2 linked regions of the Saccharomyces cerevisiae S288C genome follow. The protein of the gene in region 2 binds, or shares a complex with, the protein of the main gene of each other region. Each region holds a gene or a part of one and is shown on either strand. Other genes may lie near its edges. A codon is read from its position in the direction of its gene.

Region 1 (5,631 bases), on a different chromosome or scaffold from region 2:
GCTCGGGTGAATTTGATACAAAATTATCATCAGTTTGTGGAGTCACATTATCTTCATATGTTGTGGTCGCTACCTGTATTTTTTCGCGTTCTCTTTTCTCTTTTATCCCCGTCTTTTCCATCACCTGCTTGTTGTTAGAAGTCTTGCTTTCCTCATTGACATTACCTGATGTATCTTTGTCCAATTTCCTCTTTTTCTTAGAGGAAATTGTATCTTTCTCATCCTTCTTGATCCTATCAGTTAATTCTTCCTGTATCTTTCTTGGTCTTCCACGTTTACGGGGAGCTTTACTTGGCGTTTTAGGTTTGAGTGCCGGATCTGGAGATGTATTTTTCCTTTCGTTGCCTACAAGCGAGATTCTTTCCAACAAATTCTTCTTTGATGAATGAATTCTTCTCAGTTGTCTTTCTCCATGTGGGTCAACCCTTTTTGGGGTTACATTCCTGCTTTTTGCCGGAGACGATAGGATATCATTATGCTCTACAAAGTCTTCCCCATTTAGCATGTTATGGCAATTCGCAGTACTACAAAAACTTGTTTTAAAGATATAGCAAATAAGATCAATGATCAATTATCAAATACAATTTCAGCTAATATATTCTACTTTGTCTTAATTTAAAGGTGGTTCCTATTTCTTTATAACTTTTACACATTGTGAAGAATAACAATTCTGCTTACTATTGTCATTTCCACCTCAATGATGCGGTGAGTGGGTGTTCTGAAAAATTTTCCCGATTTTGCTAGACTAGAAATTGGTACTAGCTGATCCATATCACATTTACGCGAATAAGTCGATATTTATGCATGGATATTTGGCCTTTTACGACACTTATTCTTATGATCCATTGAAAGATGGTTCATATTACATATAAAGGTGCCACAGCAAGTTAATGTCACGGCAGCTAGTGACGCTATTGCTAGTTTACACCTAGATGAGGCCACTGGAGAAATGGTCTCTAAGACAGAGTTGAAGAAGCGTATTAAGGGAATACAAATTGAGGCCAAAAAGCTGTCAAAAAGACTCTTGCGAAACCAAAACCAGCTTCGAAAAGACTAATTTCCTGGCCGGTTTATAGTCATCTCAATACTAGATCACAGCAAATCCAATTAAGAAACAGACTCTTGATATAAATTTTTATCCATACAAGTTCCGATTATATATATTCAATCCTGAATTTTTGGCCAAGTATGCCCATTCAAAAAGGCGAAAATTTCCCTTAAGAGAAGTTTCACATTGCTAGGAGAGTTCATGCAGAAAGAGAATCAGCTTAAAAATTGAAATTCTACGTTCTCAATGGTGGTGTTGAGCTCTAAATTATTTTACAATTTCAGGATTATTACGACGAGAACCCATAAAAAGGAGCATGACCTTTAAGGAGGAGTAATATATATCCACCAAAGAAGACCGGCGGAGATGAGATATATTTTTTTCGTTAACAGAGTGCAATTGACAACTTGTTTGCACTTGCCTGCTAACTGTTTTGGTTTCAAAGATCAAGAAAATAGATAGAACCCGTTTTATTATTCAATTGACATCGCCCGTTATATCAGACGATTTTTGGATCAAAAAAAGTTTATTGGAGCAGAAGCAATTCTGAAATGAAGGTCCTAATATGACCCCAATATGACACATAATTCGGAATCTGCCACTTGTGAGTTTTATCAAGCCTATGCGGATGTTTGTGACTAGTTGGATATGACTGAATTAATACTTTCAGAAATGGACAAGGAGATATGTGATTCTCTATTATCAAATACCATTTGAACCTTACTGGTCCAGCTAAAAAAGAGCTAGAATTCATCTGTTCTAGCCCATGGAAGAGAACCGATATGATTGGCAGATAGAAACCATACTGATTCGCGTCGTATCTAGCACAACCCACGTAAGAACCTTAATTGACGAACAGTCAAACCTTCTTGGCTTTTACAACCGAGAGGAAATACTAAGTCAACATCAAGGTGGCAAACACAATTCACAGTATCTAATTTTTCGTTATATCACATTGGAAAAAGTATTAACGTATAATTTCCATCTGCTGAGCACTTGCTGCCGTTGAGACCGGCGAATTTTTGAAAGAAGTGTATGCCAATAATAAATTGGAAAGCCCATTAAATAATGCTCTTATGTTGGATAAGCTTTCTTCGGTGGAATAAAAGGCACATGTATCAACCTGACTTTCACTTTTACTTAACCCCAAGCTATGTCTCCATTGGCCAGGTACTCAAAAGAACAACCGGGTTTATGTGAGCGTTTCGAGGTTTTTGTATCTAAAAAGGAGATATGTAATGCGTAAACCCGAACTGAACAATTCGTTTGACCAAAAGGGGCTTTCCTACAAACAAGCAGGGCAATAGGAGCAAGGCAAATGGATCAAGGTGATGCTTATGCATAATTTATACGATGGAATCCTTTGTAATGCTCCGTACTACGGTTTACCACCAACCGGCTTTTGGGTTGTAATATTGACAGATTCACCATGTTCTCAATGGTTCTGTCACAATTCGAAAGTTCTATTACTCGCAAATTCGAAAGCAGATGTTTTAAGAGACGAGGTGAAGTAAAAAAGAAGAAAAATGATTGCCATACTCCTCAATGCTTGCATGTAATATAATATAATATAATTACTGTTTCATTTTCTTTTATATTATACAATGGATATTCTACATAACCGTAACCTATATCGTTTTTAATGATTGCAAGGAAAAGTTGATTTTGTAGATAATCTTATAATGTAGTGACTTATTTAATTGTTTGATTAGAGGTAGTAATATTGCAATCAAACTGATCTAGTGAGTTTCCCGCTCCTTTTTAATTCCAAAGCTTTCTTGTAGGGAGGGTTCGTCGGGCTTTGAACAGGATCTAAGGACGATGAAGTGCCTGCAACCGAAGAAGGTAGGTCATGATAAGTGGCATCTGAGTCGAAACTTTGAAGACTTCCACAAGCCATAAATTCGGCTATGTTTCTCTCCTCTTCATTCCAATGAGACAATTTGTCTGATATACACAATTTATTCAAAAAACAGCCTTGAAAAAATTCATCAACGGATGTATTTACATCTAATTTTGGTGTCCAATTGGATGGTGGGTTATAGCCTAAACAAACAATAAAAGCTTCCAGAGATGTACCTCTTGATGATCTTGGCTTTGCGCAAACGATTTTATCGAATAGATAGCCCAATTGGGAATATAGCATATCTATATCACGACCTCTGAAGATCTTTGCCACAAAAGTTCCACCTTTTTTCAGAATGCATGCAGTAAGTTGCAGCGCACTCATAATTAACTGTTGTTGCACGTATTCGTCAAGATCGTGTAACCCAGTAACATCAGGTGCACCATCACTACAAACAAAATCGGCCTTTTCGTTGCCAAACAGTTTTAGAATCCTCGCCAATGTTTTAGGATGAGTGATATCGGCTTGCAACGTTGTCACATGAGGTATGGGGGACATCGGTTGTAAATCGACAGAGACAATTTTCCTGTCCTCCTTATCTGAACTGGGACTTTCATCAAACAGTTTTCTCGAGAGCACTTGTGACCATGAACCTGGTGCTGCACACAAATCTACAACTCTTTTTAAGTTTGGATCATCCAGGAAATGAAATTGGTCATTGAGTTGAAGTAGTTTGAAAGCAGATCTAGCCCTATAGCCCTGCTCTTTTGCTTTTCTATAGTACAAATCTCTTTTATCTTTGCTGCTCTTACCCATCTTGAATACTTTCTTTTTAAGCTTGCCTTGTACTCATCTACTGTTGTTTTACAGTAATGTTAGGAGCATCGCTTGAAAATTTTCAACTCGCGATAATTATTGTTAGCGCAGAATAATAATACCTAGTAAAAAGTTTATCGTTGCTTTTACTTCATCATGATAATCAAAATACTTGTAGGTCTGTCTTCTGTGAAAGAAGACGTAGTTACCTATTCTACTTAGGTTTGGTGTCTTTATATAATATAAAAGAAAGATATTAACCGTACATACCCCAATCTTCTTCCAGTTCTGCTTCAGTTGTATCAATCTCATTAATGATTCGGTGGCCCATAACATTATCTCTGCATAATGGACATGTTGTACTTCGAGATAGCCAGACAGACAAACACTCTAAGTCGAACTTATGATGGCAATGAGGTAATTCAACTACTAAGGGGTACTCATCTTCTAAATAATTAGTGTAACAAATGGAGCAGTTGTCAGTTGCTTTGAGCTTTTTTTTATTGATTCGTGGTAAAGAGGCTGCAAAAGTATCAGGACAGCCCGCACTCTTGCCTTTATCCATTTCTTGCAACCATTCTTCCTGTAATGATTCTGGAAGCATTTGCGATAATAATCGTAAAAGTAGTGTTGAATCTGAATGTGCATCACCCTCACCACTGGTGTTACCAAAGTTTTGAAATAGACCTTGCAGTTGGGATCTGACCTGTCTTCTCTGCTCCTCCTGTGAAGTTCCTCCTACTTCTTGGTAATCCCTTGAGTTTTGTTGTATTCCATGTTCCTCTAATCTAATGATGAGTGCAGATTAAAATTCGGTTAGTTAATTGGCTTTGGGGAACTTACTTCATAATATATCATTACATACCTTCATATGTAGACATTTTTTTGATTGTGATTATGTTTGATGAATATATCTTTCTATTATTTCTTTAGTAGTTTAGGAGTGGCAAAACTGGTATTATAACGAACTGAGCGCTCCTCGGTGCAAACAAAAGCCGCCCACAACAATTTTGACCAACTTAGGCAAAATGAAGCCATTACTAGAAAACGAAGAGTATATATCATCACAGTAATTCGGGTAGGAGAGTTGGTCACCAAAATGGGACTCATATGGAAGGCAAAAATTTCGAGCTTATTCATCATGGTTGTACCCGTAAAGTTTTTGTTTCCGATATATAGAGTACAGATGTTTTCTAGTTAACAGTTGGCATATCTTACATTTTCCGGATTATGTATCAAATAAACTTTATCTATGAATAGTTAGAGTACCACAGTAGAATCGAAGTTGCGCCTTTATCATTAACTAACAATTTTTTTGTGGGAACCGAACTATTATGTCTCCTGGAACAAATCTTTTGACTTTTAACCCGGAGCAAATTGCGAATCCTTGTCAAATTTTGAACTTCATCATAGCGGATAAGATCCTTATGAATCACTTCATCTAATCGCTCTCGTTTTTCTCGGTATGCTCCAGTTATTTCAATTGGGATGTTGTTATCAAAGAAAACTGGTTTTTCCATGAACATAGTCAGGAAAAGTTCGTCACCAAATTGGCTTTTTATAATCAAAAACGATTTACAGATATCACGAATTTCTCTACTCACAGATTTAGTATTATCTCGAGCAGTGAAGCTTCTCATAATTGAAATATTTCCAGGCGCGTATTGTCTGCCATAATGGGAGAGAGATACATCGCATCCCATAGGAACTTTAACCATTGTTTCGTTAATACTTTTTTCAATACCTTTAAACGGCGTTTCATTCGCGCTATCAAGTAATGTATTATTTACCACTGCTTTAAACTCGGGATTCGAGCCAGGTGATCGCGTTAAGACCTCTGTTGTATAATCTTTAGTTAATAAGTCGTACTCATCAAAATTGCCATAGGTGAAATTTTCATCGCTTTGGTTCAAAGTTACCA
Region 2 (9,163 bases):
CATAGGATACACAGCATCGCCAAAGTTTTGAGGGCCACTCGCATAAGTTTCTTGGTAAGGGCCGGAAGAACTGGACTGTTGATACATTGCAAAGTCATCGGAAGAAGGAAAAGGAGGGAACATGTTATTATTGTTATTATTATTACTGATATTATTATTGTTATTGTTATTGTTATTGTTATTATTATTGTTATAAGAAACCACCATGTTTTAATGCAATTGAAGTAGTATGTGATGGTGAAGAAAAAAAAAAATACAACGATAGTTCTTTGTTTTTCTTTAGGAAATATCTGAATAGAAAAGGCTTCAACGACCAGAATTGAAAAAATAAAATAGTATTAGCAAAGAAAAATATGATATTTTTTTTCAAAAAAAAAAAGAGTGTCCTTGAGAATTGAAGTTGGAAACGGATATTAATTAGACAAAAAAAATGATGAAGAAAGATAAAGTGAAAAATATGAGGCTGGAATGGACAGTTGAACCAATTAAGGAGCCTAATTGGTAAAGCAGAACAGGTGAGTCAGAAGACTTAAAAAGGGGCAAATATCAAATAACGGAAGAACGAAGAAAATAGAAGAATACAATGTTCAAAAGAAATGAAGCGTATGTGTATCTAAAGGAAAGGTACAGAGACTATCAGTTCTAGAAATTGTAAATTGGTAAAATAAACAGAGAAAGGAAGCTTAAGGAGAGAATTCAGTGGGGAATGTGACTCTGTGAAAATAATGTATAAGAGTGGGCAACGGTGTTCTCGTAGATATAGCGCTGTGCTGAACCAAGTTTAGTTTTTTTTACTTTCCACCAAAGGCAAAGAAACTGATTAATTTATTGCTGTGACGAAGGGATGGAGTATGATTGCGGTTGTGACTGAATCTCTTTGTAGACTTTCGGACAACCACAAGATCCACTTTCTGGTAAAGTTAATTTCAAGATCGTGTTTTTTTCTGTCTTTTCTTTCTCTTCTCATAGCCAAAATCGTACCACAAGGAAAAAAAGCACCGGGTTACCATGATGGTGGAATCCCACTGTAAGAACATAAGAATGATAAGTACGCAACTGCCACGGCAGTTGGAAGAAAGACATAGTCTGCCCTCATTCGGCGTGTATTATTGGACGTCAAGTTACCTTTTCCAAGTGTTTCCCTTTTTTGTCTTTTGAATTTGTCAATAGGGAGTGAAAGGTCCATAGTTCAAGGGCATTCCAAAAGTGAGGATAAAAAAAGCGTAGTCATAAACACTTCAACGGTGTTGCCGAGAATGACGACGGTCCGGTAGAAGGTGGTGCTTTTATCTATGTATTAGTTATTTACTATCTGCGTAACGAAACTATGATTTTTTTTTTCTCTCACCCAAGCCGAAATTAAAAATTCTGTCTTCGCACTTATTCCAAATAGAAAGGGAATGAATCGTGGAACTATTGGCATTGGGATATAGCCTCGATCTACTCGCATATAACGGCTACGGTTCATAGTACAAATCTCAGAATTTTTCAGCAAGCGAAAGGATTTCAAAGAATGTTTTTACAGACTCTCCGCCTAACTATGCCAAGGATGTTTTTGCACATGAAACCGTCCCCCATAACGATAACAAGGGCCTGCACAGTGCCCAGCCTCCTATCTGTTGCAGCTCCGCAACCAGCTCTTGTTGCAGCTAACAGACCTTTGGTTTTTAACAGAGGTTTCAAGGTCAGAACATCTGTCAAAAAGTTCTGCAGTGATTGCTACTTGGTAAGAAGAAAGGGAAGAGTATACATTTATTGCAAGTCGAATAAAAAACACAAACAGCGTCAAGGCTGAAAGATGTAAATCTCTTCGCTGTTCTCCGTTCGGGTGTTTACAAAATATTCTCATTTTCTAAAATCTGTAAATAATACATATCTATAATATTCTTTTATGTATATGTTAATTTTTTGTATCATTTTTTCCAAATTGATAAACCAACACCTCCGATCAGTAACGTTTTCTCAGAATCAGCATCTTCATCATTGGAAATGATTTCTAATGATCCTGTATCCGCCACAGTGGTACGCTTTTTATCTACCAGTGAAAGCTTGCCTGCGGTAATTTCCCAAGCGCGTATTACTTGATCAACCGATGTGGTAATGACTTCTTTGCCACCATTAATCAACATACCGGACGTTATTGTCGAAGAAGCTGCTGCAGCGATAAAGTCACTTGTTTTTAACGTTACTTTATTCGAGTCATCTAATTTCAGGTTGCTTAACCCTAAACCATTATCATCACCCCCTGTCAAAATTGTGGCGGAAGTTCTTGTAGCATTAGCAACATAGTCTAGGGACTTGACACCAGATTGATGTACCGGCAACTGCGCTACAGGTGCGGGAAGATTTGAGATAGTAGCGTCCAGTTTGTGGTCAACCAAATCGCCAGAAATCGGATCAACGGAAAATGGTACGTACTCGGTTATATTATAAACCACTAAATGTCCATCAGTTGGTGAAATGACAACAAGGAGCTCTTCTTTCAGTGCAATAAATACGACGTTGAATAAACAGCACGTCTTATAACGACCTTGCATGATCAGGTCAAACTTATTCTGATTTTCCCTATAGTGCCAAATCTTTATTGTTGAATCTGAATAAACAGTAACTAATAAGAAGTCACCTGACTGTGATATAAATTTGACATCAAAATCCATGATCCTTAGATCAGAATTATTTGTGGATACAGGTAAAGCTTGTCGTATGGTCATATATGGTCGTTTATTATACTTATCGTTCAATTCCCATAAGAATAACTCCTCTCTAGCTGAAGATGATATCATTAGTTTGTGATTTATAAACTGACAACGTTGTAATCCAGACACATGCTTTCTTTGTGTCCAAAAATTCTGCACCTTCCCTGTTCTATTGTTAAAATATCCCAGCTTAATTGTAGTATCTTCAGATGCAGTACAGAATATATGCCCATCCTTAAAATTGTCATTCGTGTTGGTATTTGAAACAGGACAGATTGAAATATCTCTGATTTCCCTTCCGTGTACACCATTTTCTAAAGTTTCAGGCACAATGGAGTTGTAAATTTTCCTTAAATGAAATCGGGATGCCTTAATATACATTAATACGTGGCCATCAGTAATTTTTGCGAGATTCCACAGACGATGGGAACCACCACAAACTTCACTAGCTAGTTCATAACAGTTGGTTTCATTGTAGAGATAAAACAAGCTGGACTTGAACCCATAAGTAATGTATTCACCTTTTGAATTAAAGAAAGCGCCCTCCAAGAAACCTTTCATCATCTTATTAGAATGCAAGACCTTATAACTTAGTCGGTAGGGACCCTCTTCCAAACTGTTTTTCGTCAACTCAATAAATACATAATAGCCATCCCTATTTGTTACTGAGAAGACCGCAGAGTTGTCTTTATCTTCTACAAATTCGATTGAGGTTGTAGTGTCTCCGGGACTTAATCTCCTAATTATGAAGGGCTCCTCGCTCTCATCAAGTAAGTTGTAGATTACTAATGTACTAAAACGTGAGCCGACTAAAATATGATTTCGGAAGGAGGTCAAACATGAGGAAGAAAAATTTTCCGGCTTATTGAAACAGTGCTTGCTTTTAATTTTTAAGTTCTGAAGGCTTATTTCCAAACATACAAACTTCTCTCGAGGATTTGGGGATTGTAAAGTCAATAGGAAGGAGTCATCATCGTATTCTGTAACGAGACAGTTATTTGTCTTAGAAAGCTCATCTAAATGGAATTCTTCGGTCTCAATTATGTCAGCGCTATCTTTGCTAAATTTGATAAGAAGGATGTCACTTTTATTATTGGAAAAGACAGCGATATTTTGCGTTTGAATCCCATTTGTAATTGGATACGAGTTGAATTTTTCATTTGTTAGTAACAACTTCCATTGTTTCGTGACATCACTGTATTTAAGTATTTTACCCAATGAAGTGATAGCAATTACACCGAATGAAAACCATTGAAATCCCTTGATACTTTCATTCTTTTCGAAAATATCGCCACATTGCTTTGCGATATCATCTAGACTGAACGATGTTTCTTCATCGCCGTGTCTCTTCAGTTGAAGAAGATCAATCAGCTTTAACCTACCATCATTCCCGGAGGTTACAGCTATCATTTCGTCGTCTTTCACATCAACGCCCCATATACTCTTGATTAAATGTACTTCGTAAACGTTAGATATGGATAATTCGGCAACGTTTTCTCGTGATTCGATAATGTTCCATACACGGCATGTGCAATCTTCAGAAACACTTATTAGTTTTGAATCATTATCAAAAAACATTAAATTCCATATTCTTGCCGTATGGCTCCAGCCAACAGACAGCTGCTTGCCAGTTTCTAAATCCCACAGTCTAATTGATCTGTCGTCAGAGCAACTGGCAACATATCTTCCGTTGTTGCTTAAATTAACATAAAAGATAGAACCTTCATGACCCAGTAAGTTATGAATTTTTGTCTCCGAGAACAGGTCCCAAATGATAACACCGCCCATTACAGTACCAGCGTTAACATATACTTTATCCGGACCGAAAACTTTAATTATACCGGAATATAGAATAGATCTTTCTCCCCCAAGAGACTTCCTAAAAAGAACTTCACAATTTAAATCACAAATTAGCACTTTATTATAACATGTTAACAAATATATTTGCAAGTTGTCAAAGCTGAATGTAGCACCGGTAATCCAATCTGAGTTAATCCTTTCGAAATCCACCAATGACTCTTTCTTTAAAACGTCTTCAAGTTCCACTATTGTTACTGATCTTGCACCATAGGCCAAAATTTTCCCTTCACTAGAAAGGCTAAGTCCATGAACTTTATTGTAGTGAAATAGCCTACATTTGTTAATCAACGTAGCCGAATGATAGTCATAGACATGGATGAAAGGCCCATAACCAGCTAGAACATAATCATTGTAAAATTTAACACATAGCGCAGGACCATAATGAGACAAGTCCTTCATTTTAATCACTTATTCTTCTTCAATGAGCAACTTCAATTGGCGGGAATGAGAAGCTAAATAACGATGAGGTCCGCTAGCAGAAGTTTTTTCATGCTCATATTTTTCCACTTTTTTTTTCTTACATTTTTTTTTTCAGCAGCGTCGTTTTTTGTGAGACGCCGATGTGTATGCTAGGCTTAAATCTATCATTCAGACCCCAGTGTAAAACATAAGCGGTGAAAAGTACGTAGGGTAGTATACAACTCACCAAAGCACGACTACGTGAAAATGACCCTGAGAGTATCATCAATGTTATCGGCTGTATAAATAATACACCAGAACAAATTCCTCTTAAAGATGTAGGCAAGACCAGACTCAGTTTCTCTGAGCAGTACCTTCAATTTTCAATTTTTGATAGATGTTCGTCACTAATATTTTTTTATTGAGTTAAGTTCACCCACTTCTGGCACTTCTTATAACCTTGATAATTAAAAAGACCTCGGCGGTTATTTTTTATTTTGAGCAGTTATAAAGGGCATTACCCTCATCATCTTGCGGAAATAGGACGGAGCACGTCGCAGACAGGCTTTAACGTAATCAATTAGTTTTGAAAAATTTCTCCGCTATGGGTAAACTAGGTAAACCGCACAGCACAATCAGCTGCATTTTCTATTTTCAATTTTCTATTGGTGGCTTTTCACTGCATGATCAAAAAATAACGTTTTGTTGATTAGTTTTTTCTTTTTTGTTCTTGTTGGTTTTCGTATATGAATTTTATGTAACTGGGTATTTACAGGGGTACAAAGTTCACAACAGAGACCATCAATAGTTTGTTTCCTTCGAAGTTTACTTTGCGTAACCTTACTAAAAGATAGCATAAACATATAGGAGTATAGAGAAGAGTAATGGAATCGACAGCAATAGTGCCTAAAGGCCCTGTTGTGGGTAGTGAAGATATGGAGAAAGCGGAAGTCATTGCTAGTGGGTCCACAGACATTATATCAACAACATCAACAGCGACAACAACGGCGGCGATTGGAAGTGTACAGGAAGAAAGTGTAAAACAAGAAGATGTTCCTATGGAAGGTGGAGAGGGGGAAGTCGAGGAAGAGGAAGGCGAAACTCGCTGTATCTGTGGAGAGCTCGATACTCCAGATGACTCCGGATTTTTCATTCAATGTGAGCAGTGCAGTTCCTGGCAGCACGGTTATTGTGTGAGTATTACTCAAGACAACGCACCTGATAAATATTGGTGCGAGCAATGCAGACCGGAGTTACATCAGCTCTTTACCACAGATACTGGCGAAGCAAGGTCAATCTATAAACCTGTGCAAGAGAAAAGGAGGCAATCAAGAAGGAAGGCACGAAGTGCAGCTGCAAGTAAATCTCATGCCGCCAATGAAGCAGAGAAAAGTCCCAGAAATACCAGCAATACCGATGATAACGTCGACGATATCGGCGACGAAGAAGATGAAGTAGAAGATGAAGCTTCGGCTGTAGCATTAGCCAAGGACGGCAACACGAGGTCAAGTAGAAGGAGGAGGAGGAATTCAATGGATGATGCTTCTACCGATCAGTATTCACTGGATCCTGGAGATAGTGATAAGAAGCTACTGGATAGAAAAAGGGCAACTTTCATGGCAAGAGAAGAAAAGCAATATCAAAGAATGCTTGAAAAAGCCTTGAAAGAAAGCAGGAGGACATCACATCAAGAAGATCCTGAAAGTTATGAAAATGATGCTGATATATACCAAGGTGATACCGACAATCACAACGGCACCACTCGATTACAAACGGATGTTATGCTAACGGAAGGCAAACCGGACTCGGTAACAAATGATGATATGAAAGAAAGCCTACGACCATCGAAAGAGCAATCAATGGAAAAAACAAATGATGTGGAAAAAGAAGCTAGTCAAGAAAAGGAATCTTCTACGGGTTCGGCGCAAGACACTGAGAAAACTGATGAACCCATCCTACCCCTAACCTCAATATCTTCTTCTGAGGATGATTCAAGGAAAGCTAGTTCGAGGGGTTCTAAAAGAGTTTCCAAACCAGCAAGAAAGGGCAACAGAACTCGTCGAAGCAATACAAGTTCAGACACCAACCAAAATAGAAGGAGTGCTGATATAGGTACCGACAAACCAGTAAAGCCCAGATTACCCCCTCAAAGGACCTCATTAAACGAAATGAGAAGAAGGGTATCCGCTATTTTGGAGTTCATTTCTAGAACTCAATGGGAATTGAGTGAAGATCAGTCTGATCGAGAGGAATTTGTACGATTCGTGGAAAACCAGCATTTCGTAGAAAAAGTTGATACGATTTACAACGGTTATAATGAAAGTCTATCAATGATGGACGACCTGACTAGAGAGTTACTACTATGGGAGAAAAAATATTCAAATAACACTAATGCCATTCAATAAACGCAAAACACTGCAATATTATTCTCAACCAAAGTATAACTGTAATGAGGCGAACAAACACATCTATACATATATATACATCTATATGGATATAAAAACGACTAATTCAACGTTGTTTTTATCAACCGAGCTTACTCTTGTACGGGTAACCGCAAGGATAGCTAGTTGCGGATGGTATAGCGATTTGGCTGGCACGATGATTAAGGAATCCAAACATCTAATGGACTAGCACATTCTATCGATTTACGGGTCAGGTAAACATAGATATTGGGATATATCATATATCCTTACTGAGTAACTATAATTATGGTTCATCGAGGAAGGACTTTGAAGTCAGACACTGATGTAACATCTCTTAATGCGTCAACAGTATCACACCAGTCAAAGCCATTTAGACAGTTTTCGACTAGGTCGAGAGCAAAGAGTAACGCAAGCTTCAAAGGTTTGCGTAGAGTTTTAACACATGATGGCACCCTGGATAATGATTATTTTAATAAGCACAACGTTTCTCAGAAATGCAAGAGTTCTGATGCACTTTTCAGAAAGCGAACGATTAGTGGGTTGAATATGACAGCTTTAACAAGAGTAAAGTCCAATCAAGGAAAAAGATCAGCATCCTTTCATAGTCCGGTGCATAATACGCTGCTCAGTCCAAAGAACAGCAGTCATTCTAATACTGGAACTGCTGGTTTCGGCCTGAAACCACGAAGAAGTAAAAGTACCCAATCTGTTCTGAGTCTTCGAGATGCGCAAGAATCTAAAAAGAGTGAATCTACTACTGACGAGGAGGTGGAATGTTTTTCGGAAGACAACATTGAAGATGGAAAGGTGAATAATGATAAAGTAATAGCCGAGCATGTTATGCCTGAAGAAAAAAAGAATGTGCAGCAATTAAATCAGAATGAATTACAATCCCCGGATTCAATAGATGAACAAGAAGAAGATAAATCAGGTACTGATGGAAAGGAAAATCATAGAGCTGTATCCTTACCATTACCTCATTTATCTTCCAATAACTATTTCGGAGAATCAAGCCATTCTATAGAACATCAGAAAGATGGAGAAACATCTCCAAGCTCAATTGAAACAAAACTGAATGCAACAAGTGTAATCAATGAAGAGGGGCAATCAAAGGTGACGAAGGAAGCTGATATTGATGACTTGTCCAGCCATTCTCAAAATTTGAGGGCCTCATTGGTTAAAGCGGGCGATAATATATCAGAAGCACCATATGATAAAGAAAAAAAAATTCTTGATGTTGGTAATACCTTAGCTGCACATAAAAGTAATCAAAAACCAAGTCATTCAGATGAACAGTTTGATCAGGAAGATCACATTGATGCCCCTAGGAGTAATTCATCAAGAAAAAGCGACTCGAGCTTTATGTCTCTTAGGAGACAAAGTTCTAAACAACACAAATTATTAAACGAAGAAGAAGATCTAATCAAGCCTGATGATATTTCTTCCGCTGGTACCAAGGATATTGAAGGGCATAGCTTACTGGAAAATTATGCGCCTAATATGATTCTCTCCCAGTCGACTGGAGTTGAACGTAGATTTGAAAATTCATCATCCATCCAAAATTCGCTTGGGAATGAAATTCATGACTCGGGTGAGCATATGGCTTCAGGTGATACTTTTAATGAACTGGATGATGGCAAATTGCGCAAGAGCAAGAAAAATGGTGGAAGATCTCAACTTGGCCAAAATATACCGAACTCTCAGTCTACTTTCCCCACCATTGCTAACATCGGTAGTAAAGATAATAATGTACCACAGCACAACTTTTCGACCTCCATATCG

Evidence for each region.
Region 1: the proteins of RTT10 (region 2) and TRM7 are in contact, whole or in part, in a crystal structure (PDB 6JPL), measured with the Saccharomyces cerevisiae proteins. Residues at the interface, in NP_015142.1 of Saccharomyces cerevisiae: Leu11 (codon at 4,925), Tyr47 (codon at 4,817), Asn48 (codon at 4,814), Lys49 (codon at 4,811), His51 (codon at 4,805), Ala66 (codon at 4,760), Arg67 (codon at 4,757), Ser91 (codon at 4,685), Asp92 (codon at 4,682), Trp93 (codon at 4,679), Cys111 (codon at 4,625), Tyr112 (codon at 4,622), Lys114 (codon at 4,616), Ser129 (codon at 4,571), Leu130 (codon at 4,568), Gly132 (codon at 4,562), Glu133 (codon at 4,559), Arg134 (codon at 4,556), Ile136 (codon at 4,550), Tyr138 (codon at 4,544), Met158 (codon at 4,484), Phe183 (codon at 4,409), Arg223 (codon at 4,289), Trp225 (codon at 4,283), Ser273 (codon at 4,139), Trp275 (codon at 4,133), Asn291 (codon at 4,085), Arg658 (codon at 2,984), Glu685 (codon at 2,903), Thr835 (codon at 2,453); in NP_009617.3 of Saccharomyces cerevisiae: Leu84 (codon at 3,461), Pro127 (codon at 3,332), Asp128 (codon at 3,329), Val129 (codon at 3,326), Thr130 (codon at 3,323), Gly131 (codon at 3,320), Leu132 (codon at 3,317), His133 (codon at 3,314), Asp134 (codon at 3,311), Leu135 (codon at 3,308), Tyr138 (codon at 3,299), Val139 (codon at 3,296), Gln142 (codon at 3,287), Arg167 (codon at 3,212), Gly168 (codon at 3,209), Arg169 (codon at 3,206), Ile171 (codon at 3,200), Asp172 (codon at 3,197), Met173 (codon at 3,194), Tyr175 (codon at 3,188), Lys189 (codon at 3,146), Arg191 (codon at 3,140), Thr196 (codon at 3,125), Leu198 (codon at 3,119), Asn233 (codon at 3,014), Lys234 (codon at 3,011), Cys236 (codon at 3,005), Asp239 (codon at 2,996), Ser242 (codon at 2,987), Glu246 (codon at 2,975).

Annotation. Positions count from the first base shown.
Region 1 is NC_001134.8:362,010-367,640, forward strand, and holds TRM7 (tRNA methyltransferase TRM7), read right to left. Parts: upstream 3,711-5,631; coding exon 2,778-3,710; downstream 1-2,777. Other genes in the region: ORC2 (origin recognition complex subunit 2), read right to left, coding at 1-505; YBR062C (uncharacterized protein), read right to left, coding at 3,967-4,493, 4,576-4,591; CNM1 (Cnm1p), read right to left, coding at 4,961-5,631.
Region 2 is NC_001148.4:197,582-206,744, forward strand, and holds RTT10 (tRNA (34-2'-O)-methyltransferase regulator RTT10), read right to left. Parts: upstream 4,956-9,163; coding exon 1,914-4,955; downstream 1-1,913. Other genes in the region: MRN1 (Mrn1p), read right to left, coding at 1-207; mitochondrial 54S ribosomal protein bL36m RTC6, read left to right, coding at 1,514-1,795; CTI6 (Cti6p), read left to right, coding at 5,840-7,360; TCO89 (Tco89p), read left to right, coding at 7,667-9,163.